Diceros bicornis minor: one gene and its partner. The protein of the gene in region 1 interacts with the protein of each later gene in a biochemical or structural test. Links are inferred from orthologs where the notes say so. Each region holds a gene or a part of one and is shown on either strand. Other genes may lie near its edges. The genes, in order: TERT and CIB1.

The links.
Region 2: the proteins of TERT (region 1) and CIB1 form a complex in vitro, tested with the Homo sapiens proteins (2 studies listed by BioGRID). The link is inferred for Diceros bicornis minor from reciprocal best matches to the Homo sapiens genes TERT and CIB1.

Annotation. Positions count from the first base shown.
Region 1 is NC_080759.1:61,424,692-61,439,252, forward strand, and holds the start of TERT (telomerase reverse transcriptase), read left to right. Parts: upstream 1-6,700; 5' UTR 6,701-6,703; coding exon 6,704-6,922; intron 6,923-7,063; coding exon 7,064-8,456; intron 8,457-12,364; coding exon 12,365-12,560; intron 12,561-13,899; coding exon 13,900-14,080; intron 14,081-14,561. UniProt on the Homo sapiens protein: Telomerase is a ribonucleoprotein enzyme essential for the replication of chromosome termini in most eukaryotes. Active in progenitor and cancer cells. Inactive, or very low activity, in normal somatic cells.
Region 2 is NC_080744.1:93,847,799-93,862,621, forward strand, and holds CIB1 (calcium and integrin-binding protein 1), read right to left. Parts: upstream 8,002-14,823; 5' UTR 7,937-8,001; coding exon 7,886-7,936; intron 7,757-7,885; coding exon 7,722-7,756; intron 6,614-7,721; coding exon 6,505-6,613; intron 5,544-6,504; coding exon 5,393-5,543; intron 5,250-5,392; coding exon 5,131-5,249; intron 5,058-5,130; coding exon 4,969-5,057; intron 4,730-4,968; coding exon 4,708-4,729; 3' UTR 4,471-4,707; downstream 1-4,470. Other genes in the region: SEMA4B (semaphorin-4B), read left to right, coding at 1-126, 1,835-1,920, 2,188-2,927. UniProt on the Homo sapiens protein: Calcium-binding protein that plays a role in the regulation of numerous cellular processes, such as cell differentiation, cell division, cell proliferation, cell migration, thrombosis, angiogenesis, cardiac hypertrophy and apoptosis.

The DNA of each region.
Region 1 (14,561 bases):
GTCCAGGTTTATCCAGACAAAGCATCTTTATTTCACCTGCGTTCTAGAGGGTGTCACTCACAAGACGGTGGCTTCCTCGGGGTCCCTGCGGGCCTCTTCCTGTGTCACCACCGCTGGCGGTCATTCTGTGGGGAGTGGTCTGTCTTCTCCCGTCTGAATTTAAGCTGTTCTTTTTGACAGTTGTGCAGCCCCTTCTCTCGTTCTTTGGTGTGTAACACACTTATGTCAGTGGTGTCTTTGTGTCCTCCATCAACAATAGAAAACGTCACCATTTTCCCTCAAACAGTGCCTCTTCCACACTTTGCCCCCTCTCTCCTGCGATCTGCTCCATTCTTCTCTCTTAATCTCTTCCCGTTTCCAGTCTTCTGTCTCCCTATGCTGAAGTCTGTAGTGTTTTCAGCTAGACCGTTTTCCATATTGCCAATGTTCTCTACTGTGGTACTTCATCTTACAGGATTTTTATCATCATTATTCAGCCACATATGTATAATCGTAGACGTTCCACTTGACTCTGAATCCTCCTGGTCTTTTAATAGTCTTGCCCCTTGCCCTACCTTACCTTCCCACTCTTTGTTCTTAGATTTACAAAACAAATTTGTGCTGTGCTATGAATCTCCTTCAGTAGCTACAGACTCTGCGTCTGATTCTGTTGTGTTTTGTTTTTTATTTCTGCCCTCTCCCGTCATGGTGCTTTGTTCTCTTGTGTGTTTGGAGGTTTCTGATTGTGTGTTCATATGTGATTAAACTTAATCTCTAGGAGCCCTGAGACCTAGAATGTTGATGGTCCCTTCCAGGGAGAATTAGCGCTTGGTCCTATCCCAGGAACCTGGCTCTGTGGACGTGAGGTGCCCTGAGATCTCTCAAGGGCCCCGCTCCACAGGACTAGGGGAGGAGAGACCAGGCGATGCGGATTTCTGAAAGCCAGAGTAAAAAGTCTGGACTTCATTCTAAGCAGCAGTGAGGAGGCATTAGTGGGTATTAGCAAGATGTGACACGCTCTTACTTGTGCTTTTCAAAGATCATTCCGGATGCTCCCTGCAGACTGCAGCTGGCAAGAATGAAGGAGCTGGAAGCCTGTTGCAACAATGCCAGAGATGACAATGGCTACATGTGCACGTGCCAGAGAGGAATCAGGATGGCCCCTGGGATGGTGGCTTCATCTTTCCTTTATCTTAGGCAGTGACCGAGCTGTATCTGTAAGGAAGGTCGAGTTCAGTCCCTCCTTTTGCGGAACTGCTGAAGCCCTCTGCTCAGGAAAACTCAGAAACCCGGCTCCATGGTCATTCCCTCTTTTCTCTCCCCATCTCCCTGCTCTTCTGATGGGAACAGAGCCGCCCAGGGCACTGATTTGCCCAGCCCTGAGTTTCTCGGACCCCAGTGAGGCCCCCTCCTGAAGGGCTTCATGGAGGCGGCACTGACCCTGTGCCCTGAGCTGGGGAACTAGGATGGTCTGGGCCGGGAGTGGGTGTTCACAAAGGGAGTGATGAAAGGACTTAATTCTGTCAGTAAATTCTACCTTTCCACATCCCAGTGGATCATTTTATCTTACTGCTTTCTTAAATTTCATCAAATGACTTTCAAGAGTGCAGAAACCCACAGGCGTGCAACCGGGACCAAGCTGTGTTTGCCAAGGTGCAGGGACTGAGGATCGCGTGCAAAGGGATTTTTAGCCTTGAGCACATTTTATTGGTTTTCATAAGGTGATTTAAGGTGCGGGAGAAAGTATACAGAGACCTGGAAATAGATCAGGACGGATTAATGGGGCAGAGCTGCCAAGGGCAGAAGGTAAACGCCTCGTCTGCCAAGACAGTGGGGAAACATGGCTGTTTTCCCTGGGCACTGCCAGACCCAGCGAGGCTCTGGCAGCAGAGCTTGGCGTCAACCCAGGACTCTGACGCCCAGGCAAGCCATGTCCCCAGAGGCCCCCCCAACTCGCTGCCTTTCTCCTGGCTGTGCTGTGTCTCCCCAACCAGTGGGTGTGTGGGGGTACACTGGCCTTGGACTCCACAGTCCCAGCTCTGCCCCAAACGATCGGGATTTTCAGGAACCACCCGCTCCGAGCCTGTGAGAAAGGACGATGGCACCGTCCACCTGCTTCCCGGGGCTGCTCAGAGACAAGGAGCTCGTGGGCACGAAATCTCCGTGAGTCGTAAAGCTCTATACAAGCGAAGGCCATTATTCCTAGTTATTTATCTCTTCCACTAAGACTTAAAGGAGTGTTCCAGGAACCCCTGCAGGTAAGACAAACCACGCAAAGCAGAGGCAGAAACAATCTCTGCTTCACTGTGCTCCCGGGACCTGCCCGGACTCCTGAGTGAAGAACCTGGGGAGAAAATAAAACGGGGGTGCTCTGAGCCCCCAGGATGGGGTCATAACAGCAGCGGAGCATTGGGTTCCCTAGATTCAGGGAACCTGGGAGACAGAGGACAGACTCCGAGGTTCCGTAGGGCAGCCCCCCCTACGTGGGGGTCCATGCTACCAGGGACGGGGCTCCGTGTCGTCTGCTCCATCCGCCTCCCAATGAACCCCTTGGCTCTCCCTCGGGCCCACACGGAGGTCAGGCCCCTCTGCCCCTCTCTGCTTCTCCAGAAAACACTTCCTACACCCAGGTCCATAAACCTGCCTCATGGCTTTCTCTCGCCTCTCACCCCACGCCTGGTTGCAACAACAGTGCTTCTTAGGTTGTCTTTCTCCTAGGCCAACATCCTCTGAGCCAGAACCAGCCTCGAGCCCCAAGCGCAGGTCCTGGTGTCTTGGCCTGGCGCTCTGGCTCAGTCAGCGCCCTGCCACCCCCCCCAGGACCCCTCCCACAGTCTGCATTGTCGGGGCCCCTCAGGACCACGTGAGAGGCACTACACCCCACAGAGAGGCTACAGTGAAAAATCGTGACACCACCAGTGCTGGCAAGGACAGAGGAATGGGAGTTCACACACGTGGCTGGTGGGAATGCAGAATGGCACAGCCCCTCTGGAAAACAGTGTGGTGGTTTCCATAAACACTAAACAATACGACCCAGCAATTGCACTCCTGGGCATGTACCCCGGAGTAATGAAAATGTATGTAATTATGTACAAAATCCCGTCTACAAAGGTTCATAGCAGCTCTATGTGTAATAGCTTGAAAGGCGGGAAAACTAAATGTCCCTCAACAGGCGAACGGTTAAATTAACCGTGCACACCCACACCTCGGAATGAAGGCTGCTCCGAGACATGAGGGAGGTGGACCATCGACACACCACAGCTACACGGAGAGAGAAAGCCAATCTTGGAAGCTCACGTGACACAATGCCATTTATACAGCCTTCTTGAAATGACACAGTTTCACCCCAGAGCAGGCTGGTGGTCACCAGGGGTCAGGGAGGCCGGGAGGGCTGTGAGTGCAGCAGGGGCAATCCTGGAGGTGGTGGGACAGTCCGCATCTTGGTGGTGGTGCTGGTCACACAAATCTACACAGGAGATAAGATGACGTCGACCTGTACACACTCACCACGCGCCCAGGTTAGTGAGTTACGGGGGGTTAACCACTGGGGTGCTGGGGGGCCCAAGGCAGAACTGGGCCCTCTCAGCAGCTGTACTGTCTCTGCCACGCTGTGTCATGGGCAGACTGATGCCCCAAAGATGGCACATCCTAGTCCTGGCACCCGTGTGACCTCACCTGGCACAGGACTACGCAGATGGGAGTACGTTAAGGATTTTGAGGTGGGGGCATGGCCCTGGATCATCCGGATGGCCCTACATCAATCTGAAGGTCCTTGTGAGAGGCGGCAGGAGGGTCAGGGTCACAGAGGGAGATGTGATGATGGAGGCAGAGGGTCACAGAGAGCTTGGAGGATGCCTCGTTGAAGGCTCCACCAGGGAGCGAGAGGGTCAGGGCAGCACCAGGGGGCCTGCCTGTCTGTCCCAGTGTCCTGTCCTCCTGCCCCAGTGCTGGGCTTGGGATTGCACCTGCCTTTCTGTCAGCAAGGGCACGGTGTTGACCCCAGTCTTTGTTATGCTACCCCCTTTGTGGTCAGCTTCCATGAGGACAGAAGCCCGTGTGCATCCTGTGATGGGGCACTGGGTCTGTTCTGGCCGCTGAGACCTGTCTGGATCCCGATTCTGCTGTCCCACGTCTTGGCTCCTCCCCCAGCGGCAGGTCTGAGACACAAGCCACGTGCTCCCCCAGGACACTGCCAAGAGGGTGCCAGGCGGGGTGTGCGAGGTGCCCCAGGCGTGCCATCGGGTGGGTGTGGGGCAGTGCATGGCAGTCACTACCCTCCCCGTGCTGCCCTCCAGAGCCGGCTCTCCTGCCACCCCAGCCCCCGAGCCCTCAGTCCAGTCACTGTGACCCAGGAGCCACGTGGTGCCCCATGAACACTGAGCCCATGCACGGACCAACGCCGACCACTTACTCAGACGTGACCCTGTGCTCGTCACCGCACAGCCTGGAGGTGACGGATTCTATTTCCTCCCCATGCTCGGGGCTCAGCCTCTGTGGGTTTCTCTGTGATCTGCAGACCAGGGACCAGTGGCCTGTTGGTGTCTCTACAGGTTCTTGGAGCAACCAGAAAGGGGCAGCCCGCAGTCCAGCGGGGGCTCCCTGACTGTCTCTGCAGGGGACCCCCAATGTCCAGGTACTGGGCACACTGTTGAAAATCTCTTCATGTCGGTCCCCCTAGTTCCTTAGTGAGCCCCTCACTCACGCAGGGGGCTCCTCCCACTCCTTCAGTGACCGATGATGCATCAGGAAGCAGCAGGTGTGAAGTGTGACGCCCACGTCCCCTTCTGGAAGTCCTAGAACGGGATTTCGCTGTTGTATTTCTCGTAAGCCAACAACATACATTTTTTCTTGGTACGTTTTTCATGTCTGAAGACACAGTGATTTAAGACCGTGACCAGTTTCTCGCAGAGAGAAACCGTGCACAGGACACTGGAGGGAGCATTCCAGAGGGCGACGATTTCCATCTGAGCTGTATACTGACACACTGTTCATCACGCTAGCATGGTTTTCTGCCTCGGTTTCCTCTATTCTTTTTTTTTTTAATTATGTTTTCCATGCTGGTTTCTCCAGGTGAACCAGCGTACTGTTGTTGGAAAAGAGCAAATTTCCCGGAAGCAGCCCAAATCCTCCAGTGGCAGAATGAGCAGTTCTCAAACGCAGCCTTGGGCCTTGACCGTGCCCACTAGACACACTTCTGTCTAGAACAACAGCCCCGATCCCAAGTCGCATGAGCCCTGGCAGACCCTGATCCAGCAGACAAATATGAGACGCCGTCTGTCCAGGGAAGAGAGTGGAGGCTTGTTTAAATGCCACAGCCTTGAATACAATTTCCTGACTGGGTTTCTTACCTCGTGAAAGATTAACATTTGTTCAGCCTGTTCACTGTTTGCCACGGGCCTCTGGAGACCCAGAAGTTTCCCCATTTCTTAGCGACGCACACGTGAACATCCCACAGTGTCTGGGTTCGGGTGGAATCTCATTATGGTGACTCCTCTAAGCTGTCCTGTTCATGTGACGAGCCATTGTCAAAACTGCCCTCCTGGGTCTGGGGAGGGGCGACTCGTGGGGAGGGTCTCCACCCCTTGGCTGCAAGGCGGGGGCTTCTGGCTCTCTCTGGGGCACTGCAAGGCTGTAGGCGGATCCCTTGACCTGTCCAGTCTCCTCTTCCTCCCAGTGTGTGGGAGGGCAGGTGGTTCTGGGGGCTCGGGGATGAAGGCAGCCATGGGCAGGTGACACCACATTGGGAGCCTGCGGCTCCATTTTCTCTCCTTCCTTTGGTGGATGACCTCATGATCATTGATTATTAGGGAACTGATTTGGGGTTTTTGTGTATGGTTGGGACCACAACAGAAGCCTAAGAACCCGGAAAGAGAAACTACAGCCCGGGATCAAGGAGACCAAGTCGTCAGGGGAAGTACTGCACTGACCGCTGACCACTGCCAGCTGACTGCTGCCCACTGACCACGTGGCAAGGCCTGCCCACTGCACGCTGACCATTGACCGCTGACCACTGCCCACGGCGGGAAGAGCTCCGGGAGCACCACCTCATGCCCGTCGAGGATGCGCCTTTGCCCTCAGTTTCCCCCAACCCCGCCAGGCGGGAGCAGCGGTGTCCATTTTCTCCTTTCCAACGCACCTCATGACACGTTCGCTGTCTTGCTCCTTCCAAACCCCTTCTGCAGGACCCCAGAGCAGCCCTCTGTGCCAGGGTCACGGCCCACGTGAGAAAGTGACAACCCAGAAGGACCCTCTCCCCAGGGGGCGCAGAGCGCACCAGGTCCCTCAGGGACCCACGTTATGGTCCCCTCTCTCGGGTAACCCCCAGAGCCTCTCCGCCGTGAGACCCTTGCTGCGACCCCTGCACCCTGGGATGGGTGAGGGGGCTGCCAGGGTGCAGCTGGGCGGTGGGGGCACGCCGGGTCCTCGATGACACCTGGACGCGGGAATCCGCGGGCCGCAGGGAGGGCAAAGGCCGAGCACCTGCCTCCCGCGACCCCGCCCCTCGGGCCCGGCCAGACCCCGCCCCCGGGCGCTGGGCGACCCGGCCCCTTCCTCCCTCCAGCCCCGCCCCTCCGCGCGGCCCCCGCCGGGCCCCGCCCCTTCCTCCGTGCGGACCCGCCCCCGCCCCGACCCTCCCTCTGCCGCGCCGTGCTCAGGTGGATGCAGCTCGCGCTGCAGCCGCGTGTCTGCGCACGTGGAGCCCCGGCCCCCGCCCTCGCCTGCGATGCCGCGCGCGCCCAGGTGCCGGGCCGTACGCGCCCTGCTGCGGGGCCGCTACCGCGAGGTGCTGCCACTAGCGACCTTCATGCGGCGCCTGGGGCCCGAGGGCCGGCGGCTCGTGCGGCGCGGGGACCCGGAGGCCTTCCGCGCGCTGGTGGCCCAGTGCCTGGTGTGCGTGCCCTGGGACTCGCAGCCGCCCCCCGCCGCCCCGTCCTTCCGCCAGGTGGGCTGTCCCCGGGGACCTGGGTCGGGCGTGCAGGAGTTGGGGAGGGAGGGCCGTGAGGAACACGGCAGGACGCGGGCTGTGCGCCCCGGGTTCCCGGTCACCTTTGTCCCCGGCGAGTCAGAGCCCCCCCTCCCGCAGGTGTCCTGCCTGAAGGAGCTGGTGGCCAGGGTCGTGCAGAGGCTCTGCGAGCGCGGTGCGCGGAACGTGCTGGCCTTCGGCTTCGCGCTGCTGGACGGGGCCCGCGGCGGGCCGCCCGTGGCCTTCACGACCAACGTGCGCAACTACCTGCCCAACACGGTGACCGAGACGCTGCGCAGCAGCGGCGCATGGGGGCTGCTGCTGCGCCGCGTGGGCGACGACGTGCTTACCCACCTGCTGGCACGCTGCTCACTCTACCTGCTGGTGGCCCCGAGCTGCGCCTACCAGGTGTGCGGGCCGCCGCTCTACGATCTCTGCACCACCGCCGCGGCTCGGCCTGCCTCGTCTCCCTGCCGCCGGCCCACGCCACACGCGGGCGAGAGCCGGACGGGCCTCCGACCCACGCGCCAGACCTGGAACGGCGGCGACGTGGGGGCCAGGGGACCCCCAGGGCCACCAGCCCGGAGCGGGAGGCGGCGTCGGGTCAGCTCTGGGGGAAGTCCACCTCCAGCCAAGAGGCCCAGGCGTGGCCTAGCTGGGGAGCCGGAGCAGGGGCCCGTCGGGCAGGTGTCCCGGGCGCACCTGGGCAGGGCACGTGGGCCAAATGACACCGATCCCCACGTGGTGACACCTAGAGAAACCGCCGTGGAAGCCGCGTCTTGGGAGGGCGAACCGCCGAGGACCCGTCTCCCCGTCCCCCCTCTGCACCGAGAGCGCGAGGCCGGCTCCCCACCCACGCGGCGGTCACCGCGGCCCCGGGGCGCACACGATCCCCGAGTGTATGTCGAGACCAAGCACTTCCTCTACTGCTCTGGCGGCAAGGAACGGCTGCTCCCTTCCTTCCTGCCCAGCTGCATGCAGCCCAGCCTGGCAGGGGCCCGGAGACTCGTAGAGACCATCTTTCTGGGCTCGAAGCCCGGGCGGCCAGGGCCTTCCCGCAGGACGCGCCGCCTGCCCGCGCGTTACTGGCGGATGAGGCCCCTGTTCCGGGAGCTGCTTGGGAACCATGCGCGGTGCCCCTATGGCGCGCTCCTCAGGACGCACTGTCCGCTGCGGGGCGTGGCCACCCCAGCAGGGTCCGCTGACCAGGGGTGCGGTGGAGTGGGCGTCAGCGCCCGGGAGAGGCCAGCGGCGGCCCCGGAGGAGGACGCAGGCCCGCGGCGCCTTGTCCAGCTGCTCCGCCAGCACAGCAGCCCCTGGCAGGTGTACGCGTTCCTGCGGGCCTGTCTGTGCCGGCTGGTGCCTGCTGGCCTCTGGGGATCCAGGCACAACGAGCGCCGCTTCTTGAGGAACGTGAAGAAGTTCGTCTCTCTGGGGAAGCACGCCAAGCTCTCCTCGCAGGAGCTGACCTGGAAGATGAAAGTGCAGGACTGCGCCTGGCTGCGGAGCCCAGGTGAGGAGCCCGGGGAGGAGGCGGCGGCCCTGCAGCATCAGGCCCCCACCCGGAACGCAGCAGAGCCCCTCCCTACGCGGGTAACCCCACCTGTGGCTGTCGGGTGGCTCATCTGATTTCTCTGCCTCTGATCCCCTCTCCCATCTAGTTTTCATAAAACTGTAAGACCCACGTATAAACCTACGAGACCCTCATGGACTCAGGCAGGTTCTGGCAGACAGCAGATGGGACACACGTGGAGTAGGGCTCTGGCAGCAGACAGAAGTGTCCGAAGTTCTCCTCAGCGGGCCGACGGGTTATTCAGGATCCCTTTTTTGACATCAGGGTTTATCACCTTGAAATGGTGCCCCACTGATAGAAATGGGAGCTGGGAGATAAGCCTCCTGAGTTTCCTGGACACACCTGCTCAGCCACGCCTGCTCAGCCACGCCTGCTCAGCCAGCGTACAGATCTGAATTTAAGTTTTGATGTGTGTCTGCTGTGCCTGGGCAGGGCAGACAGAGGAGGGTAGAAGAACTGTCTCCTGAACAAGGACCCAGTCCCATCTTTAGGAAGGAAAGGGTCACCAGGGCGACGGGAGCGGCAGGGCTCTCCTGTTTCAGGGAAGTGGCCACCACCAAGGGTGCTGGCGGGGCTGCAGCTGGGGCTGCAGTGTCCCTCCGGCTTTGATTTTCTCGGTTTGATGTTGAGGTTCCTCTGGTCCAGCCACCACTCAGCCCCCTCTCTCCCAGTGCCTTCCTGGTGGGCACACCAACACCACGAGTGGACAGGACCAGCCACCACCCTCCTCTCCCTGATGGTGCAGCAGCGGCCAGCATGGGCCCCAGTGTTTTCGGCTTGACCCCCCCCCAAACTCCCACAACACCCAGGACTCCTAGAAGAAAGAATGGCAGAGCCTTCGTCAGAGCCACGTCTGCCCATGGGCTGCACGTTACAGTCTCCTGGGGTGGGGACTTTAAATATGCCCCGCCCATCCCCAAAGATCTCGATTGCCATGGCCTCCGTTGGGGGGTGCGGGGCACACCCTTTCTGGCTCCCCAAGAGGCTCTGCGGCCAGGTGATGCGGACGAGGTGACCTTCCAGCAACTGGGTTTTTTAAGGTTTTTTTGTTAATTGTGGGGGGGAAAAACACATGAGGTCTGCCCTCCTAACAGATGTTTAAGGGTACGGAACGGTATTGCTGAGTGTAAGCGCGGCGTCGTACTGCTGGTCTCTCTGGTGTTCTCATCTTGCGTGACTTGGCGCCTGTTGGCCAGCAGTCCCTGCCACATGTGACAGCGTGGATGAGCTGGGAAGGCGTCATGCTCAAATGTGTTGTCACATGACTCGTTTGTGCCCTTGGGGCTCCAGTTTGCTTTGAAAGGAGAGTCTGGGTTCTGTAATTTGGCTCCCCGATTTCAGATGAGGTCTGCCGTGCCCCTGTGTCCTGTGGGCACGAGGAGGTGTTGTTTCCCAGGCAGCTGGGACCCAGCCCCTGGACCACCCGGCATCCTCGCTGGCTTGAGCTGTGCCCAGGCGTGTGCCCCTTTCCGTGGCTGTGGCCCCGCGGTTGCCTACTGTCTGAATAAATGATGCACAGTATGGCGTTGGCCTCTGAGCCCCCTTTCCTGGTCACCTCTTCCGTCCTTTCCTGCTGGGACGCCCCTTCCTCTGTGCAGGTCGTCTGCCCTGCCAGGCACTCCATCAGCCCCCCTGGGCTCATTTGCCTCTGTCAAGCCAGCCTTGACCATTGTCCTGTCTGCTTGCTGCCCACTGACTCCCCTCGGCTCTCTGGTCCCCAGCGCTGGAGGCCAGACTTCTGGGGAGTCCACATCTGCTGTCAAGTGTTGCTAGAGATGTTGAAAAAAGGATTCCTGATGGCAACTCGGAGGTGCCTTGGCCCCTTGCTCACTGCCTCTCCCCTGGGCCCCTCATTGGGCTGGTGGCAACCTTTGCTCTCTTAGCCTGGGCGCAGATCAGGCTGCGCTCTGCCTCCACTGGCCCTGTCCCATCAACTGACATCTGACCACACGATCACTCTCCCTAAACTGTGGTCAGGGTGTATCCCTCCTGCTGAGGCCCCCTTGACCTTCAGAGTGGAGCCCCCATGTCCAGGGGGCCTTGTCGGGCCTCTCATGGATCTTTGTTTGAACTTGGCTAAGTTCTCTCTGGGGGTGAAGTTCTTTCTGGGGTGACATCCTTCCCTCTCTTTCTTCAGGGTCACTCAGTCATCCCACTTCTAACTTCTCCGGTGAGCATTTGGCTATGTGTTTCCCTCTCAGTGCTGCTTTAGCTGCACCCCACATTGGGCTGTGTCACTGCACATTTTGATATCAATTGGTTTTAAGTGTTTTCTAGCTTCTGTGATTTCTTCTTTGATCACGAGTTATTTAGATGTGTGTTTTTTATTGTGCAAATGGATGAGTATTTTAAATTATCTTTTTGTTATGGATTTCCAGCTCAGTTGTGTAGTGGTCTGTATGATCCCAGTTATTTGAAGCTGTGGAGACTTGTTTACGTTCCTTGTGTATTTAGAGGCCTGTGGCTGGTTGCTGTGTTCACCACATCCAGCTTATTAAGGTGCCGGAACACCGAGAGGGTGTGCAGTCTCACTCGGGGTGGGTTTGTCCATTTCTTCTTGTTCTCACGGTGTTTACATTGGGTTTTATTAGGCGCCTGCATGTTTTAGGATTTTTATCTTCCTGGTGAATGTCTAGGCGTGCATTTTATTAAAGTCCATTTTCACTGTTGGCAGAGCTGCAGCACTGGCTTCCTTTTAGTCACTGCTTGCTTCTCATATCTTTTTTTGTTGTCTAATTTTTATTTTCAACCATTTTTTAGGTATGTCTTATTAATAGCATGCAGCTGACATTTTAAATGTTTTTTCAATCCAATCTGACATCTTTGCCGCTGACCTGGAGAATCCGATTTCTTTCCATTTTTTTGTGATTACAGATGTGTCTGGATGCTTCTCTTTTCTCTCTGTTTCCAGTTTGTCTGCTTTTTCCGTGTCCTTATTCCTCATTTCCTGATGATTGTGTGCTCTCTCTCGCCATGTGTTCTCATTCTGGTTTTCCCTCCTGGCAGTTAGAAATTACCTGTTCTGTCTCCCTCTCTCACTGGTTACCTTCTCCCGAGCAGCCCGGGCCTCAGCGTGTGTCAGTCTGATCTCACCACTCCTGCTCCTCCCGCTGACTTCTCTGTGTCCACCTCAGACACCGTTGTTCCGCGTCCTGTGATCAGGGTTTGCTGCCTGTACCCCCTCTTTCTCTTCCTTCATTCACCATTCTGTCTTCTGTCTCACGCCTGCCTCTGGATCCCCTTTCTTCTCCTTTACACAGTGCTTCATGTCGGTTCTTGGTGGTAAAGCCCAGGCTCCACGTGTGCCGTGGCCCCTGTGGCAGCCTGGTGACACCTGTGGCCCTCTTCTCATGACATCTCTACGTGCATAGAATAAAATCAGAGCACTGCAAAGGAAGGCAGACATCCCAGCCTGTGGTGCATGTCGGAGCCCCCGTGGCATGTGGTATCCCTTAACTAGTGTGTGAGCAGCTCTGCTCACCTGGGTTGGTCAGCCTGGAAAACCCCAGGCATTTCTGGATCTTGCTGCTTGGTGACGATGCCTGAAATCGTACAGATCAGCGTAAAAAAGGAAAAGGTGAAACCAACTTAAAAATGTGTTTCCTTAAAGCCCAGTATGTCCAAACTGTTGCCACTGGAACACATGGGCAGGAGAAGCACCGTTAACAAGATGCTCCGTATTCTCCCACTACCCGGTCTCTGAGAGCCGGCGTGTGGGCTGCGAGGACTGCATAGCTCAGTGGGACCTGCCCCGTTTCCAGCGGCCGTGGCTGCCTTGAGGATGGTGTAGACGGGCGAAGCTCGCTGGGCCTTGGGTGAGACGTGGCTCCGTGCCTTTCTCGTTCCAGGGGCCCACTGTGTCCCAGCCTCAGAGCACCGGCTGAGAGAGGCGGTCCTGGCCAAGTTCCTGTGCTGGCTGCTGGGCACGTACGTGGTCAAGCTGCTTAGGTCATTCTTCTACGTCACAGAGACCACGTTTCAGAAGAACCGGCTCTTCTTCTACCGGAAGAGTGTCTGGAGCCAGTTGCAGAGCATTGGGATCAGGTATCACAGCCCGAGCGTCACCCCTGCGTTTCCTCCGTCTGCGCAGACGCTGGCCCTGACTCCTGCTCCCGGCTCCCCAGCCCCTCCACATGGGTCCATCACCCCCACTACTCTGGGGGGTGTGGGGCTCTCGGGGCCGGGAGCCAGGGGACTCCGTCATGGTCCTGACGCATGAGGGTCCCACACTGGGCACAGACTCCTGAAGCCCCCTTTCCTCACCTCTGGGGTCTCGAAAGTGGAAGAAGTTAGTACTGAGTGGAAACAGCAGTGCTGGCAAACCTCCTCCTCGTCCTGGTGTGTGGGTCGGATCCTGTTGAATTCATACAGCATAAACAGCGCTTGTGTCCTGTTTCTGCGGCAAGTGTCAGGACAGAGGCGTCCACTGTGAAACAGACCCTGAGGCGGTGACTTCGAGGTTCTGTGGCCTCCGCATGGATTTGTCTCAGTTGCTCAGCAGCTGTTTTAGGTTTATTTTGAAGGATTGTAGCGGATATAAGCTGGATTGGGTTAGGGATGTGATAGCCTGAAAGATAAGGCCTGCCCTTCTGCAGCCAGCCCAGCCATGGTGCCCAGTGTCCTCAGAGGGCTTGGCGAGGACCCCGAAGGCGCGAGGTCGGGGCTCCCAGGCTCCACGGCACGCCCGAGTCAGGACCCCTGCACAGGGAGGGGGACTCTGAGCCAGGTGGTGCTGGGACCCCGGGTCCTGCGTCTGGGAGAGGGTCTGAGGCCTTTATCGTGGGTCTGAGGTAGTACTCAGGGCACTCTATTTAATAATTTAAGTATTTCATGGCACATGATCCAACGTGGCCATGCAGACACTCCTTGTAGGGACCGTGGAAACCTTTGCTCTGTCTGGTGGGTATCCACGTCCCGTGAGGGGCTGTACTCTCAGAGCCCTTCTTTGCCAGGGCCACCAGCCCGGGGAGCATCCTCGGCCCTGGCAGGCAGGAGGTGGGGGCACCCAGCCCCTCCCTGTGGGTAGTTTTGGGGGAAGGCCAAGAGGGAGCTGGCGGGTCCACGGGGAGATGATTCTGTTTCTTGGCTGCGGCTGCACCAAGAGCCCCTGCTCGTTCCATGTGGAGGAATGTGGGGTCCTGCTGCCCAGGGGTCCGTCCAGCCCCAGCCTGCACTACCCAAGGCTCTCTACCTGAGGGAACTGGAGGTCCTGGGCACCTGCCATGGAGGATGCTCCAGCGGCGTCTGGTCCGTGTGTTGGCGTGGCCACAGCGTCCTGGGTGTGGGTGTCCGGGCTTTGCCGACTTCACGGGCACTGGTGTCCTCACCAGCCTGCCCGCCCTGGTTCTCCCGGGGCGGTGTCCCATGAGGCCCTCTGTTTCAGACAACACTTCGAGAGGGTGCAGCTTCGAGAACTGTCGGAAGCGGAGGTCAGGCGACATCAGGAAGCCAGACCCGCTCTGCTGATGTCCAGACTCCGCTTCGTCCCCAAGCCCAGTGGGCTGCGGCCAATCGTGAACATGGACTACGTTGTGGGGGCCAGAACCTTCCATAGAGACAAGAAGGTCATCGCTTTTGTTTCACTTTTGAGTGAAGTGCATTTAAACCCCAGGCTTGGTGTGGACGTACACAGACAGCCTGGAGGAGGGCCCACAGCCACGAGGCTAGAGCCGGCAGCATCTCGGGCTGTGGGAGGGCAGAGCGCGTGGACGGGGCGTGTTCCCGGGTCCAGAGAAGGAGCTCGTAGGAAGGCCAGGCCTAGAAGCTGGTCGATGCGCTCTGAGAATCCAGAGTTCTCGTGACACAGCCTGTGACATGCGGGACCCACATGGTGCCTGTGGTCCTGCCGTAGCGCGGGGCCGCTGCGTGCTTTCCGAGAGCCAGTGACAGCACCAGACTGCTCAGCTGTCACCAGCCCACCAGGGTTCCGAGGACCCCCCCGTAGGACCTCGCGCCCGTGGTTAGCCCCCCGTGGCTCCTTCCATGCAGCCACCATGGCATCTCTGTGTCCCAGTGGCTCTGACCCCTCCTGAGTGCCTCCCTCTA
Region 2 (14,823 bases), on another chromosome or scaffold:
GCCCATGGCCAACTGCAGCCTGTACCAGAGCTGTGGGGACTGCCTACTCGCCCGGGACCCCTACTGCGCTTGGAGTGGCTCCAGCTGCAGGCACACCAGCCTCTACCAGCCTGATGTGGCCTCCAGGTGGGAGCTCCTGAAGGCCCCGCACCTCCACTCGTCTACCCTTGTGCACTTGGCCTCAGCACCTTCCCTGGGCCCTTGTAGAATCACCACGCAGCCTTGTTTGCATCCACTGTCTCAGCATAATTATTAATTAGCTCCCCTTCGGAGTCTCAAAAGTGTTGTAGTTCAGACAATAAATTATGTTTGCTTTACCCATCTGTAAAGAGGGACAAGACCTGGTAAAGTATGAAATGTCACAGCTACGAAAAACCTTGCAGGAGAATGTGGGTTGGCACATGAGTGTTTTCATTCAAAAAATAGTAACAAAAATTAAGGGCAGCACAACAGTCCATTAACAAACCCATTAACAAGTGTTTTCAGGGCCTGGCCCCATGGCATAGCGGTTAAGTGCACGCGCTCCCCTGCTGGCGGCCCGGGTTCAGATCCCGGGCATGCACTGACGCACCACTTATCAGGCCATGCTGTGGCGGCGTCCCACATAAAGTGGAGGAAGATCGGCACGGATGTTAGCTCAGGGCCAGTCTTCCTCAGCAAAAAGAGGAGGATCAGCATGGATGTTAGCTCAGGGCTGATCTTCCTCACAAAAAAAATAAATAAATAAAATGCTATTCATCTTTAAAAAAAAAAAAAAACAACAATTTTTTTTTCAGAATAACCTATTTGGATTATAAAATGTTCATTTAGAAAATAGAGATAAGGGGACCAGCCCGGTGGCGCAGCAGTTAAGTGTGTGTGCTCCGCTTCGGCGGCCCGGGGTTCGCAGGTTCAGGTCTCGGGCATGCACGACGCACCGCTTGTCAAACCATGCTGTGGCAGCGTCCCATATAAAGTAGAGGAAGATGGGCAAGGATGTTAGCCTGGGGCCAATCTTCCTCAGCAAAAAAAGAGGAGGATTGGCATTGGATGTTAGTTCAGGGCTGGTCTTCCTCACAAAAAAAAAAAAGAAAAGAAAATAGAGATAAGCACAAACAAAATAAAAACTATCCCCAATCCTACCACTTAGAGAGAATCTCTGAGATTTTGATATATGTATATCATCCCAGATTTTTCTAAATATGTGTAAAATAAATATTCACATATTTTAAGTAAAAATGAGATCTGTCCCATTTGTAATGTCCTTGCTTCACATAGAGGGACCCCTGGTGCTAGTTTTATATTTCAAAAAAGCACATATGAGTACACATATGTACACCTGGAGGGACACACTCCAAATTCTACCTGTGACGGTCGCTAGATGGTTGATTGTGTGTGATTTCTGTAGTGTCTTTAGCCTTTGTCTTGGTTGAGATTTTCAGGTTTTCTGAGTGTATCAAGAATTACTTTTCTTCCTTATTATGTTTTATTAAACAAGTCAGTGCATGTGCATTGCTTTAAAAGAGACGGATACGTACATATAGATCCAGCTGTCCTTCCAGACTTTTTAAAGGCTCATACTGCTTTTGTAATCAGGGAAGTATTATAGTAACTTTTATTGAAGTAAATACTGTGTAGAAAGAGACGCTGGCTCAAACCCTGTGAGGGTGGGGAATCAGCCTGGGGAAACTCTGCTTCTTACCCTGCTTCAGGCCTGGTGTCCCTGAGCCCCAGACCCCTCCCCAGGAAGCCCTGTGTCTGCAGGACTGCATGAGGGCCTGTGCTGTGCTGAGAGTGGGGGGATACGGGCTCACGGGGGGTTCCTGGCCTATCTCACATTCTCTTTGGTCCTCAGGCCATGGATCCAGGACATCGAGGGGGCTAACGCCAGGGACCTCTGCAACACCTCCTCGGCCAGGCCCCGGTCTTCTGCACCAGCAGGTAAGGTGCCCCATCAAAGATGGAGGCGAGGTGGGAGCCAAGTCTGCTTGGAAGGTTCCTGCAGGCACTGGTGGGTGTAAATGCCTTTCCTCACATCTTCATCCCTCCAGCCCTACAAGCAGGACCCTGGGAAGTGAGCCTCACAGTCCCTGAAGTCCCCAGAGTTGCCTGTCATGGCATAAGGAGCACAGTCCAGAGGGAGGTGGGTGAGCCTGGGGCTGCTATGGACACCAGCCCCCCTTTACCCTGTGCCTCTTCTGCCCACAGGCGAGAAGCCATGTGAGCAAGTCCAGTTCCAGCCCAACACGGTGAACACCTTGACCTGCCCCCTTCTCTCCAACCTGGCGGCCCGGCTCTGGCTGCACAATGGGGCCCCTGTCAATGCCTCAGCCTCCCGCCGTGTGTTGCCCACTGGGGACCTGCTGCTGGTGGGCAGCCAGCAGGAGCTGGGGGTGTTCGAGTGCTGGTCGCTGGAGGAGGGCTTCCGGCAGTTAGTAACCAGCTACTGCCCAAAGGTGGTAGAGGAGGTGGCAGACCGAGGGGACCACAGTGGCAGCGTGCCTGTCATTATCAACACGTCGCGGGTGAGTGCTCCAGCCAGCGACGAGGTCAGCTGGGGTGAGGACAAGTCCTACTGGACCGAGTTCCTGGTGATGTGCACGCTGTTTGTGTTCGCCGTGGTGCTCCTAATTTTATTCTTCCTGTACCGGCACCGGGGTGGCATGAAAGTCTTCCTGAAGCAGGGGGAGTGTGCCAGTGTGCACCCCAAGACCCGCCCTGTGGTGCTGCCACCTGAGACCCGGCCACTCAACGGCATGGGCCCCCCTAGCACCCCACTTGATCACCGAGGCTATCAAGCCCTGTCAGATAGCCCCCCAGAGCCCCGGGTCTTCACTGAGTCAGAGAAGAGGCCACTCAGCATCCAGGACAGCTTCGTGGAGGTGTCCCCGGTGTGCCCCCGGCCCCGGGTCCGCCTGGGCTCTGAGATCCGGGACTCTGTGGTATGAGAGCAGACTTCTAGAGGAGGCCACCCTGGCTTCAAGGGCCGGGAGTCCTCAGAGGGGGTCGGCTGGACCTCTGCTCCTCGTGGAACACAGCCATGGTGCCCAGCCCTTGGGATCGATGGGGCCAGCTGGCCTGCTGCTTTTCAGCCAAGTAGCGAGGTCCTCTCCAACCGAGATAGCCATGGTCCCGGAGGTCCTGGCTGAAGATGGGGGCCTGCCCAGGTGGGCAGAACAGTGCTCCTTATGTAAACTGAGCCCTTTGTTTAAAAGACAATTGAAAATGTGAATTACGAGTGAGAAGAGTGAGAGACAACACAATGCCAAGCAAACAGCCGCTCCAGTTCACGGCCCCCCAGCAAGGCCCTGCAGGGGCGTTGGAGACTCATCCAAAGTGGGTGTTTGAGACAGTTGGAAATCCCCCCCAGCTAGTCTCTTCCACCTTCTGCCTTCCCCGCAGAGCCAGGGCCAGCTCTGGCGCTGTGAGTCCTGCCTTGCTGACTGGCCAAGTTGTTACCGCCATCATCCTGTCACCTCAGGGACCAGGGAGCTACGCCAGTGCTGCAGCCCTCACCGGCCCCGGGGCTCGGACCCACCCGCTGGGCCTTTCCAGCCTATATCAGGCTGTGGCTACATGACAGAGAGGGCAGCGCATGAGCCCAGGAGAGAGTTGATGACAATTAGACCTTTCCCTCGGAACCCAAGGAAGGAACTGTTGCCTGCCTTCCTCCATCACAGCCGAGAGAACCTGTGTGTCCCTCTTCCCCACATCTACCCTAGCCTTGTCTTCAGGCCCAGTCCCCAGTTCACCCCCTACACATCACCTGCCTCCATCTAAGGGATACTGACACTGCCCAGCACAGGGGTCTTGAGTTGATGTGGGTTTTATATTTTTTAAACAAGACGCACTTTACTTTTTTTTTTTTTTTTTAATAAAATCTAAAGAATTGAAATTGAATTGTGGCCCTTCCTTTTAGAGGACTGTTGCTCTTTGAAGTTGGTCTAGTTCTCTGAGATCTGGGAGGTTCTGAGCCTCCTCTTTGAGGGGTTAGTGGGCCAGAGCCAGCCTAGCCTGGCTGACTGACTGTCTCCCCTGTGGAGCACGGTTCTTAAGGTGGTGAGTTAACGCACTATGGGGCAGGGGTGGGGGATTGTTCAGTTTACTTCAGCCCCTTTACTTTGCTTCTCTAGTTCAGTTCAGGGGTAGGGGCACAGGTGACAGGGTGGTTTGTTTTTTTTTAACTCTTCAAAAAATGTTCGTTGTGAAAATTATCACAGTAAAATTGATTTTTTTCTTATGGTATACAGTTCTATAAAGTTTAACACATGTAGGAATTCATGTAACCACCACCACCACCACCAGGATACAGAAGAGTTCTGTCCTGATGCTACCCTTCAGCTGCACATCCTCACGAGAGGGTGGGAGGGGTGGGTACAGTTTGACTTCCTGCTGGCCCTTTCTTTAGGTCCTACTTTTTCTCAATATGACCAAAGGCTGCTAGAAGTCCAGTCCTTCTTCATACCAGTGTTTGTAGTGTCACACACAGAGTCAAAACTTCTAAACCTTTATTATTGATTAGTAGAAACAAACAGTGATGACATTGGCAGTGAGAAGGGGAGAGGCCTTGACATGGAGGCCCCTCCCCTGCCCGGGGCAAGACTGTGCAGTGCCAGCTCTAGGCTGGGCCAGCTTGGCCAGCCGTGGCGACACAGGCATAACCTTGGCCACAGCTCAGGAGTGAAAAGGTTCTTCAACAGGGTGCTGGGACACATGCTGTGGCTCCTGTCACAGGACAATCTTAAAGGAGCTGACGAGAAGAGAGGGTTGGGTTTTTTGCTGGAAGAGAATAGAGACTAAACCCAAACTTACCCACCTCTCCCCTAAGACCCTTTGGAAGGGGCTGTGTCCCACACCTGGCAGTCCCCTGTAGAAGAAGAGCTACCGTGATACATTCAGAGGAAGCAGGAGGCTTTCTCTCAGACCGGGCACCACCTCCCATAATAACATCCAAGACAGAGATGCAGCAGATGGGAACCACTGTCATACCTGGCAAAGTCTGGTGAACGGGAGATGACATGCTGGAACTCAGAGAGATTGATGGTCCCATCCCTATCAATGTCAGACTCTTCCAGGATCTGGGAAAGGGAGAGCTTCAGGCCAAAGCCCCAACCTTTCCCTCCTGCTCCCTGGCCCGGCCCAGCCCCTCACATTATCAATGAGCTGCTTCATCTCTGAAGCACTGAGCCGGGTGTCCTCGCCATCTCCCGTGAGGCAGTTCACGAGCTGGCTCAGGTCTTCTCTGTTCAAGGTTCCATCATCATCAAAGTCTAAAGAGCAGACAGGAAGCCAAAAAGGATATGGTCAAGATGAGCTTCAAGGCTCCATGAATGACTCCCAGCTCCCAAGCGGTACCACTGCAAAGACCACGTGGGAAGGGGCGGTGTTCCACCAGGCTCCGCCTGGTCCTTACCAAAGATGCGGAAGGCATAGTGGGACTTGATGTCTGGGGTTGCTGTGTCACTGAACACACTGAGGAGGTCCAGGAAGTCCTCGAAACTCAGGCTGTCCCTGGTTGGGGATGTGGAGAAGACCCTGCAGATTCGCTCCTTGAAGGGGTTGGCCTAGGCAAGAGAGCATTCTGTGAACGCCACAGGACGCAGCCCAGGTCGCACACTCATCAAACCCTACCAGGAACTGGAGGGAGCAGGTCACGGTACTCGCACCATGAGCTCAGGCTCACGAGGGAGAACCTCAGTACTTTGGGGCCAGCATGGAGGGCAGAAGGACCAATGACCCAGCTGGGGATGGGACAGGATGGCTTCCTGGGAGTCGGAGTTTAACCCAAAGGCAGGCTGGGGGACAGAGAAGGAAGAGGAAGACATCCTAAGCAAAGAGAACAGGATAGGCTGGTTATTTTAAAAGACAGACATCAGGGCCAGCCCCGGGCCTTAGCAGTTACTGGCGGCCCGGGTTCGGATCCTGGGCGCGCACGGACACACCGCTTCTCCGGCCATGCTGAGGCCGCGTCCCACATACAGCAACTAGAAGGATGTGCAACTATGACACATAACTATCTACTGGGGCTTTGGGGGAAAAAAAAAGAAAGAGGAGGAGGATTGGTGATAGATGTTAGCTCAGAGCTGGTCTTCCTCAGCAAAAAGAGAAGGATTAGCACGGATGTTAGCTCAGGGCTGATCTTCCTCACAAAAAAATAAATAAATAAAACTGTTTAAAAAAATAAATAAATAAAATAAAAAAATAAAAGACAGACATCTACTTAACACTTACTGTTGGAAGTGCTAGCCCAGGCCCTTTGCATGGAAATTTTCACAGCAGCCCTATGGAAAGGCAATCTGCCTCTGGAATAGAGTTTCTCAAATTTTAACAAGGTAACTCCTCTTAAAGGACAAAACTTTGAACCTCCAAGAATATGTCCCAGAACCCCAGTTTGAAAAACACCATTCTAGATAATTCCATCAGGCGATTTTGGTAAAGCCCTTGCCCTCAGGAAATTAGGGATACACAGAGAAAAGACCAGAATGGGGAGCAATGAGTAGCAGAGGGAGGGTGGGGGGCTAGCACCTTGAGCTCTGGAAGGCTGAGGATCTGCTCCAAGGACACCCGTATCTGCAGTGACTCCTCCACAGTCCGGTGCTCCAGGGGAAGCAGCTCACAAAACCGCCTGTGGGCTCTGGCAGAAGGAGGGGAACCTGTTGGTGCGCCTTCTCGTGGGTGTTGCATCCCCACTCCTTGCCTTGCTACCCACTGCAAACCAGGTGAGGAGCTAAGCCACCTAAACAGAACTTCTGAGTCATCAGGCATGATAAGCCGAAGGGAGGGACATCACAAGACAGTACAGGCTGGGAGTCCATTCTTGCAATGGGTATGTACTGAGTGCCTGCTGTGTGTCAGGCACTGTGCTGGGCCCTCATTCCAGAGCTCCCTGAGGGGTGGAAAGTTTGGGGAAGGAGTCAGAAGTTGGCCCTGAAGAACAGGGAGAAAAGAGCAAAATCGAAATCTCCTTCTCATTTCACTCCAGGGATTTCCTGCTCCTCAAAGCCTCCCTCTTTTTAGCAGCTGCCCTGAACTATCTCCTCCTCAGCCCCCCACCTCCTTCCCACTGAGGTTATTTTTGCCAAGGGAAGCCCAGGAATCTCCTTACTCAAGTGCCCTGGCCACAAAAAGCTGGCACACGACTAGGAATAGGGTTCCAGCCTCAGTTCAAATCCTCTTACTAGGAGTGTAGTCTTAGGCAGGCGACCAAACTTCTCTGAACCTGTTTCATTGTCCCCGTACCTCTCCCATGAGAATTAAATTACGTAATGTAGGCAAACCACTTAGCACAGTTCCTGGGCAGGGTAAGTACTCAGTGAGCGTTAACGGTTACTGAATTATTCAGGTAAAGTTGGGAGGAGGAGCCAGGTTCCCCAAGGCTTCTGCGGCTTTGCCAGTAGGCGAGGTCGTCCGAGAGCCACAGCAGTTCCTGCCGGACTGGGGCGGAAGTTCGGTTTTGCAGAAGCCAGTGGAGCACAGGGTCAAAGAGCGCCTAACTTGGGCCGGAGGCTACGAAGTGGCTCCGCGGTGCAGAGCTGGAGCCCCGGGCGCGAGTGGGGAGGGCGTGCCGGGAAGAGGGCACACAGCCCAGGGCTCGGGGCCCTGGACTCCAGTTCCGGCTCAGCTGCTGACCTCAGGCAGGCCCCTGACCCTCCCTGTGGGGGGCCTCAGTTTGCCCATCTGTAAGAGCCCCCCCGAAGCCGCCTCTAGGGGGTCCTGGAGGTGAGGATCGAGACAGCACTTACAGGAGGATCTCCTGCTTCGTAAGGAACGTCAAGTCCTGGAAGGCAAACGAGAGCGGAGCTCAGCGGGCCGCCCGGAGGCCGCGCCGCCCTGCCCCCGGCTCGGGGATCCCGCTCCGGAGCGCAGGCCCGCGCGCAAGCTCCCTGGGGCCCGGCGTCCCGCGCACCTGGTACTCGGCCAGCAGGTCCTTGGACAGGCGACTGCCCGAGCCCCCCATCGCAGCGCCGCGCGCACAGCTCTGCCAACTCGCCTCGGGACGCCGGCAACTTTCTCACTTCCGCTCTCGGGCCGCGTCCCCGCCCCGTCCCCGCGGCAACCGCCCCTGGGGCCACGGCCCCGGCGCCCGCCCCCTCCTTAAAGCGCCCAGGCGCTCTCCGCCGGGCTCAGCAGGCCGGCTCCCGACTCCAGGCGGTCCCCGGCGAGCTGGAGGCGGGGCCGGGGCGGAGCCGGACGCTCCGGGGCGGAGCCCGGGCCGCACGGCCCCGCCTCCGAGGTGGGCGTGTCGGGTCGCGCCCCGTGCGTGCTTGCAGGCTGCGCATGCGTGGACGGCGCCGCGACCTCGCTATGGCCCTGGTGGGAGCTTGGGCGCGCTCGCGTGGTGAGTCCTCCTCACCTGCTGAAGGTGGCCGCGGATGCGGCGGCTTTGGGCGGGGTCCGGTAAGGGGCATCAGGGAAGTCTCTGGAATTAGGGTAACCGGGAAACTCGAGACTAACTGAGTGGCCAGAGGCGGTCGGCTGCCCCTCTGCCCGGCGAGGGCTTTTCCATCCTGGCGTTACCACCCGGCATTCGCCGCACGTGTTACAGCCCTAGTGCCGCCTCTCCAGAAGTCACCATAACCCTGCGGCCAGCTGAGGCCTTCTGCTGAGGGCCAGCTGTATGCCAAGCGCTGTGCCTAGTTATCTCCGGTTCTTACAACAGGCCTGCAAGGTCGGTTCCCATTTTACAAGTGTGGAAACGTTACAAGTGTCCAGAAGGGCTTGGTGAGTTGTCTAGGCTCGGGCATTGTGAAAGCGGTCGCTCCAGTGTGAGGCTCTTTTCGAGCCTCCCAACTGCTGTACTCCTCACTCCTGCCTGCATGCTCTCCTCTGACCCCCACCCTGCGCCCAGACTTGCGTGCTTCGGGGCGATAGGGACTGAGGCTGACCTGTTTGCTCCACCCCTACAACAATGCTTGGCACATAGGCGGCTCTCAGTAAATATTTACTGGATGCATGCATGAATGAATGAACCTACGTTATTTCAAAAGGAGAGGATTCCAAGCTGCTGAGAGGAGGAGGTGGAGGTGAGATTCTTTTTTTTGTTTTTTTTTCAGCTTCATTGAAGTATAATTGACAAAATTGTAGGGATTAGTTTTGGATTCTTCCAAGTCATTCTACTTGCTGATCTTTGTAAAGTCTAAAGCTGAGCATTTCGGTCTTAACCATTTAACCATTAAGTGGTAAAAACCCAAATTCTAGCCCCCTGTACTCTAACTCTGGCGTCTCCCTCTACTGGTTCCTCAGGCTCTCTGTTTTCAGCCACTCTGGGCTCTCAGTGCCTCTTCCGTCTTATCCTCAGGGAAGCCTTTCCCGATTCCCCAGACTAGATTGAGAATCTGTCTCACAATTGCTTCTTGACAGCATGTATCATGTTTGCACTTTATGTTTACTTGGGTGATGATTGAGTGAATGTCTGTTTCCCTCACTAGACTGGAAGCCCCATGAGCTTTGAGAATCATGATCTCCAGGACCTGCTATGTGGCAGTTGTTGAGTAAATGTTTGCTGAGTGACTAGATTTCCCAGCACTCAATAATAAAGTGATCATCCGAGAGTGACGTTAGTAAGATTCAATATATCAACATTGAGTCCCACCGTTGTGGAAATATTCCATTCCAAGAAGTGGAGGCTGCAGGGCAGTGGAAACACCAAAACCAGTCAAAGTGACTGGAGTATAGTGCTGTCCCAACATGATCATTTTTCTCTTGATAGTGGTCTCTTTCTGTCCAAGAAAAGGTTGGTCTTCAGTTGGTAAAAGGGTAGGCAAAGAGCAAGAAGCTGTTACTGTGTCTTCTGTACTAGACTGAGGAGAGGGAGCACTGGCCAGCCAAGGCAGATCCCTGGACTTCGAGGTGAGACTGTATCTCTTCACGGGAAGATGTGGGAGTCGGCCTTGTGCCGTGGTGACCAGCTGTGATCTAGATCTCCCAGCCACCTCACTTGGCTCTGAACCCTTCTTCATTGAGGATAATTTTGCTTCCTGGTAGATTTTTGTACAGAGGAGGGACTATACTGAGCAGCCAATAAGAACATTTTGTGCTGTTTGGCATGTTTCTCACTGTAAATTATTAAATAGGCATTCTGAGTCACCCAGCAGTCCCTGGCGAGTCTGGTTAGCATATTGTGCTTCTTGTGTGTGATCAACTCTTGATGCAGTGATAAAACTGAATTGCTGATAAACTTTTAAAAATAGCTTCTAGTGCTGCTTATTGTAACATTTTGTTTCTTAGGTTTTTCAAAGGCTTGTTTGTAGATCATATTTTTGGCAATGTACCAACTCTTGGATTTATGTATTCTCCTTTTTTCTTGTTTTCCAAGACATTTTTTTCCCTGCTTATAATATTGTTTCCTTCTCTCTGTTTTCCTTGGGTCATTAAATAGGGTGGCCACAGAAGATTTCTCTGAGGCAGTGACATTTGGTCTGAGACCTCAAGGACCCAGCCATGTGAAGAAAATCTGGGTAAAGGGTATTTTAGGCAGACAGAATAGTAAGTGCTGAGGCCATGAGCAGGAACAAGCTTAGTGAGAGTGAGGGAGCAGAGTAGGGAAGGGGAAGAGTGGTAGGAGATGAGGTGAGAGAGGGAGGCAGAGCTAAGCCTTGAGTGCCCAGAGGCCGTGCTAAGGAAATGAACTTTATTCTAGGGGTTCAAGGTCGCATCAATGAATGATAGAGGTAGAATTCAAACACCTTGTCAGCCTCTAAAACTAGTCTCTCACTCTTTTCCTGGGATGTTACCCACCTTACAGGCTTGTTGTCAGGGTCACCTGAGTGGACTTGGAAACCCCGCAGCCCATGCCTGGTATGAGATAGACATGCAACTAGTGTTCCCTTTCTCCTGGTTTTCCTATAAAGGTTGAATTCTGTCACATGGTCACTACTGATTTGTCACTCTAAAGTATTCCTCTTTATCCCTAGGTAATGCTTTTTGTGTACTAGTTCATTTTAATATAAATATGCCCATACCCACTTTTTATTGATTCTGTTGATTGATATGTCTTTACTCATATTTTTAGCCTTTTGGTGTCGTCTTGGTCCTGGGTCTTTGGTCCTAGCCCCTGGCTTTAAATGTTACTCCAATTTATATCTAGCCCAGACCTTACCCTTGACCTCCAAGTTTAACTATCCAACTGCCTACACCACTTCTCTTCTTGGATGCCCAGCTGCATCTCAACTCAATACGGTCATGCCCCATGATGACGTTCTGGTCAACGACGGACCACATACCTGACGGTGGTCCCGTGAGATTAGCACCATAGAGCCTAAGTGTGTACTGGGCTTTACCATCTAGGTTTGTGTAAGTACACTCTATGATGTTCACACAACGACGAAATCGCCTGATGACACATGTCTCAGAACATATGCCCATCATTCAACTACGCATGACTGTAATCAAAATTAAACCCTTGATTCCCCCCTTCCTCTAGTCAACCTCTTCCCACCCACCTTCCCAGCCTCTTCATCTCTGTAAATGCCAGTGCATTGTATCTAGTTCCTGGAGCCAAGTCGCTCCCAGTTCTTCCCTCTCCTTCAGTCCCCACAGCCAGCATGTCAGCAGACCCTTTTGGTTCAGCCTTCAAAACATGACCCACATTCCCTGCTCCTCTCTATCTCTATTGCCTACGATGCTGTCCAGTTGCCCTCATTGCTCACCTGGCTACCAGAGTGGCCTCTGAAATGGTCTCTCTCCTTCCTCTTTGCTCCCCTACAATCCATTTTCTACACAGCGGTTAGAAAAAGATATATAAAATATCAGATAGTCCTGCTTAGAACCTGCCAGTGATTTCTTATTCCATTTAGAATAAAATCCAAGCTCTTTGGGTTTTTTGTTTTTGTTTTTGTTTTTGTTAGGAGGACTAGCCCTGAGCTAACATCCATTGCCAGTCCTCCTCTTTTTGCTGAGGAAGACTGGCCCTGGGCTAACATCCGTGCCCATCCTCCTCTACTTTATATGGGACGCCACCACAGCATGGCTTAGCAAGCAGTGCATCAGTGCGCGCCCGGGATCCAAACCTGTGAACCCCGGGCCGCTGCAGCGGAGCGCACACGCTTGACCGCTACCCCACCAGGCCGGCCCCGCTCCTTGGGTTTTAAATAAATCCTTAACACAAGCATATTGTAGCTGGACTTGACTGCGTTGCACAAGGCCCTGCAGCTAACCTGGCTCCTGCCTCCTCTCCAGCCTCACCTGGGGCCCTGTTCCCCTTGTTGTCCATGCTCTGATGACACTGGCCTCCTTTCTGTTTCTCAAACAGGCCAAGTGCCTGCCTGGCTCAGGGCCTTGGACTTGCAGTTAGCTTTGTCTAGAACACACGTTCCTCAGCTCTTCACTGCAGGCTTCTTCTTACCCTTCATGTCTTAGCTCAGCTGTCATCTCAGAGAGCCCTGCCCTGCCCTCTTATTGAAGTAGGATGTCCTGATCCCACCTCTTAGTTACCCTCTATTGTATCACTAGTTTATTTCCCACAGAATGCTATAACCATGGGTGGTTAACATGTTCATTTTGGTAGTCGTCTGACTCCACCACAGGGTGTAAGTTCCATGAGGATAGGAACCTTGTTTGCCTTATTTGCCACTGTGTCTTCATTGTCTCATACGCAACAGTTACGTCATAAATACATGGGTTTTGTGGCTCAGCTGAACATGCAGCAGAGGGCACAGAAGAGTTGCTGCCAGAACATCAGGAGTGGGCCCGAGGTAGGCATTGACGCTGAATGAATGAATGAATTAATGAGAGAGTAATGAATACTGTCTTAAGTATAGCTCAGCAAATTGTTGGATTTCTCAAATCTATCATGAGACTTGCTTAAAAGAAAAAAATGTTTTTAATTGTGGTAAAATATACATAACGTAAAATTTACCATCTTGACCGTTTTTCATTGTGGTAAAAAACACATAACATAAATTTTGACATCTTAACCATTTCTAAGTGTACACTTCAGTAGTGTTAAGTATATTCACATTGTTGTGCAGCCAATCTCCGGAACTCTTTCATCATGCAAAATTGAAACTCTGTACCCATTAAACAACAAACAAGTCCTCATTCTTCACTCCCCCCAGCCTCTGGGAACCACCATTCTACTTTCTGTCTCTATGAATTGGACCACTCTAAGTACCTTATTTAAGTGGAATCATACAATATTTGTCCTTTCGTGTCTGGCTTATTTCACTTAACATACATATGTTCAAGGTTCACCCACGTTGTAGCATGTGTCAGCATTTCCTTCCTTTTTAAGGCTGAATAATATTCCTTTGTATGTATGTATCACATTTTGTTTATCCATTCATCTATTGATGGATACTTGGGTTACATCCACATTTTGGCTATTATGAATAATGCTGCTGTGAACATGAGGGTACAACTATCTCTTTGAAACCCTGCTTTCAGTTCTTTTGCATATGTACTCAGAAGTGGAATTGCTGAATCACATAGTAATTCTGTTTTTACTTTTTTGAGGAATTTTCATGTTCTCCATTGTGGCTGCATCATTTATATTCCTACCAACAGTGCACAATGGTTCCAATTTCTCTGTACAGTCATGTGTCACTTAACATGGGGATACGGTCTAAGAAATGCATCCTTAGGCGATTTTGTAGTTGTGTGAACATCATAGAGTATACTTACACAAATCTGGATGGTATAGCCTACTACACACCTAAGCTATATGGTACTAATCTTATTTTTTATTTTGTTGTGAGGAAGATCAGCCCTGAGCTGATATCCATGTCAATCCTCTTTTTTGCTGAGGAAGACCAGCCCTCAGCTAACATCTATTGCCAATCTTCCTCCTTTTTTTTTCCCTTTTTTTCCCCCAAAGCCCCAGTAGATAGTTGTATGTCGTAGTTGCACATCCTGCTAGTTGCTGTATGTGGGACACCTCCTCAGCGTGTCCAGACAAGCGGTGCATCAGTGTGTGCCCGGGATCCGAACCCGGGCGGCCAGTCTCAGAGCGCGCACTTAACCGCTAAGCCATGGGGCCGGCCCCGGTACTAATCTTATTGGACCACTGTCGTATGTGTGGTCCATCGTTGACTGAAATGTTACGTGGCACATGACTGTATCCTCACCAACCCTGTATTTTCTGGTTTTTTGATAGTAGCCATCCTGATGGCTATGAGGTGATATCTCACTGTGTTTTTGATTTGCGTTTCCCTGATGATTAGAGATGTCGAACATCTTTCATGTGCTTGTTGGCCATTTGTGTATCTTCTCTGGAGAAATGTCTGAGACTCACTTTTAATAGAATAATTTAAGACTTTGCATTTTATTGTCAAAATTATGCATAGCTTGACTTTTAAAAAACTTTTTTATTGTGGTAAAAAACTCATATAATTCATCATCTTAACTATTTCTAAGTGTGCAGTTTAGTGGTGTTAAGTCTATTCACATTGTTGTTCAACCAATCTCTAGAACTTTTTCATTTTGCAAAACTGAAACTCTATACCCATTAAACTCAACTTATGATATGTCATTTTGTATGTTTGTCATGTTTCCTTTCTGTTTTATTAATGTGAAGTTTCTGGACCAGCAGAGCTGAGGGAACGCAAATTTGGACTGAAGCGACTCTCCTGAGGTAAGCCACCTTCTGAAGTCTTATCTTGGCTAACAGTAGGACCCTCTCCCTGACACCTCTGGGTCCACAGGGCTCCAGGGGCTCAGTGGGAGATGAAGACAGGTACCGACTTCCCCCTGAAGGATTGGCCCTGGGCATGTATGCACACATTGGGCCATTCTCACCCAGATGGCTCCATGCTTGGCCATTTGGAATCACTATCAGTGGAAAAGCTATTCCCACACAGGAGTGGTCAGCTTTGAAACCCTGGCCATTCTCATACACTGAAACCCTGG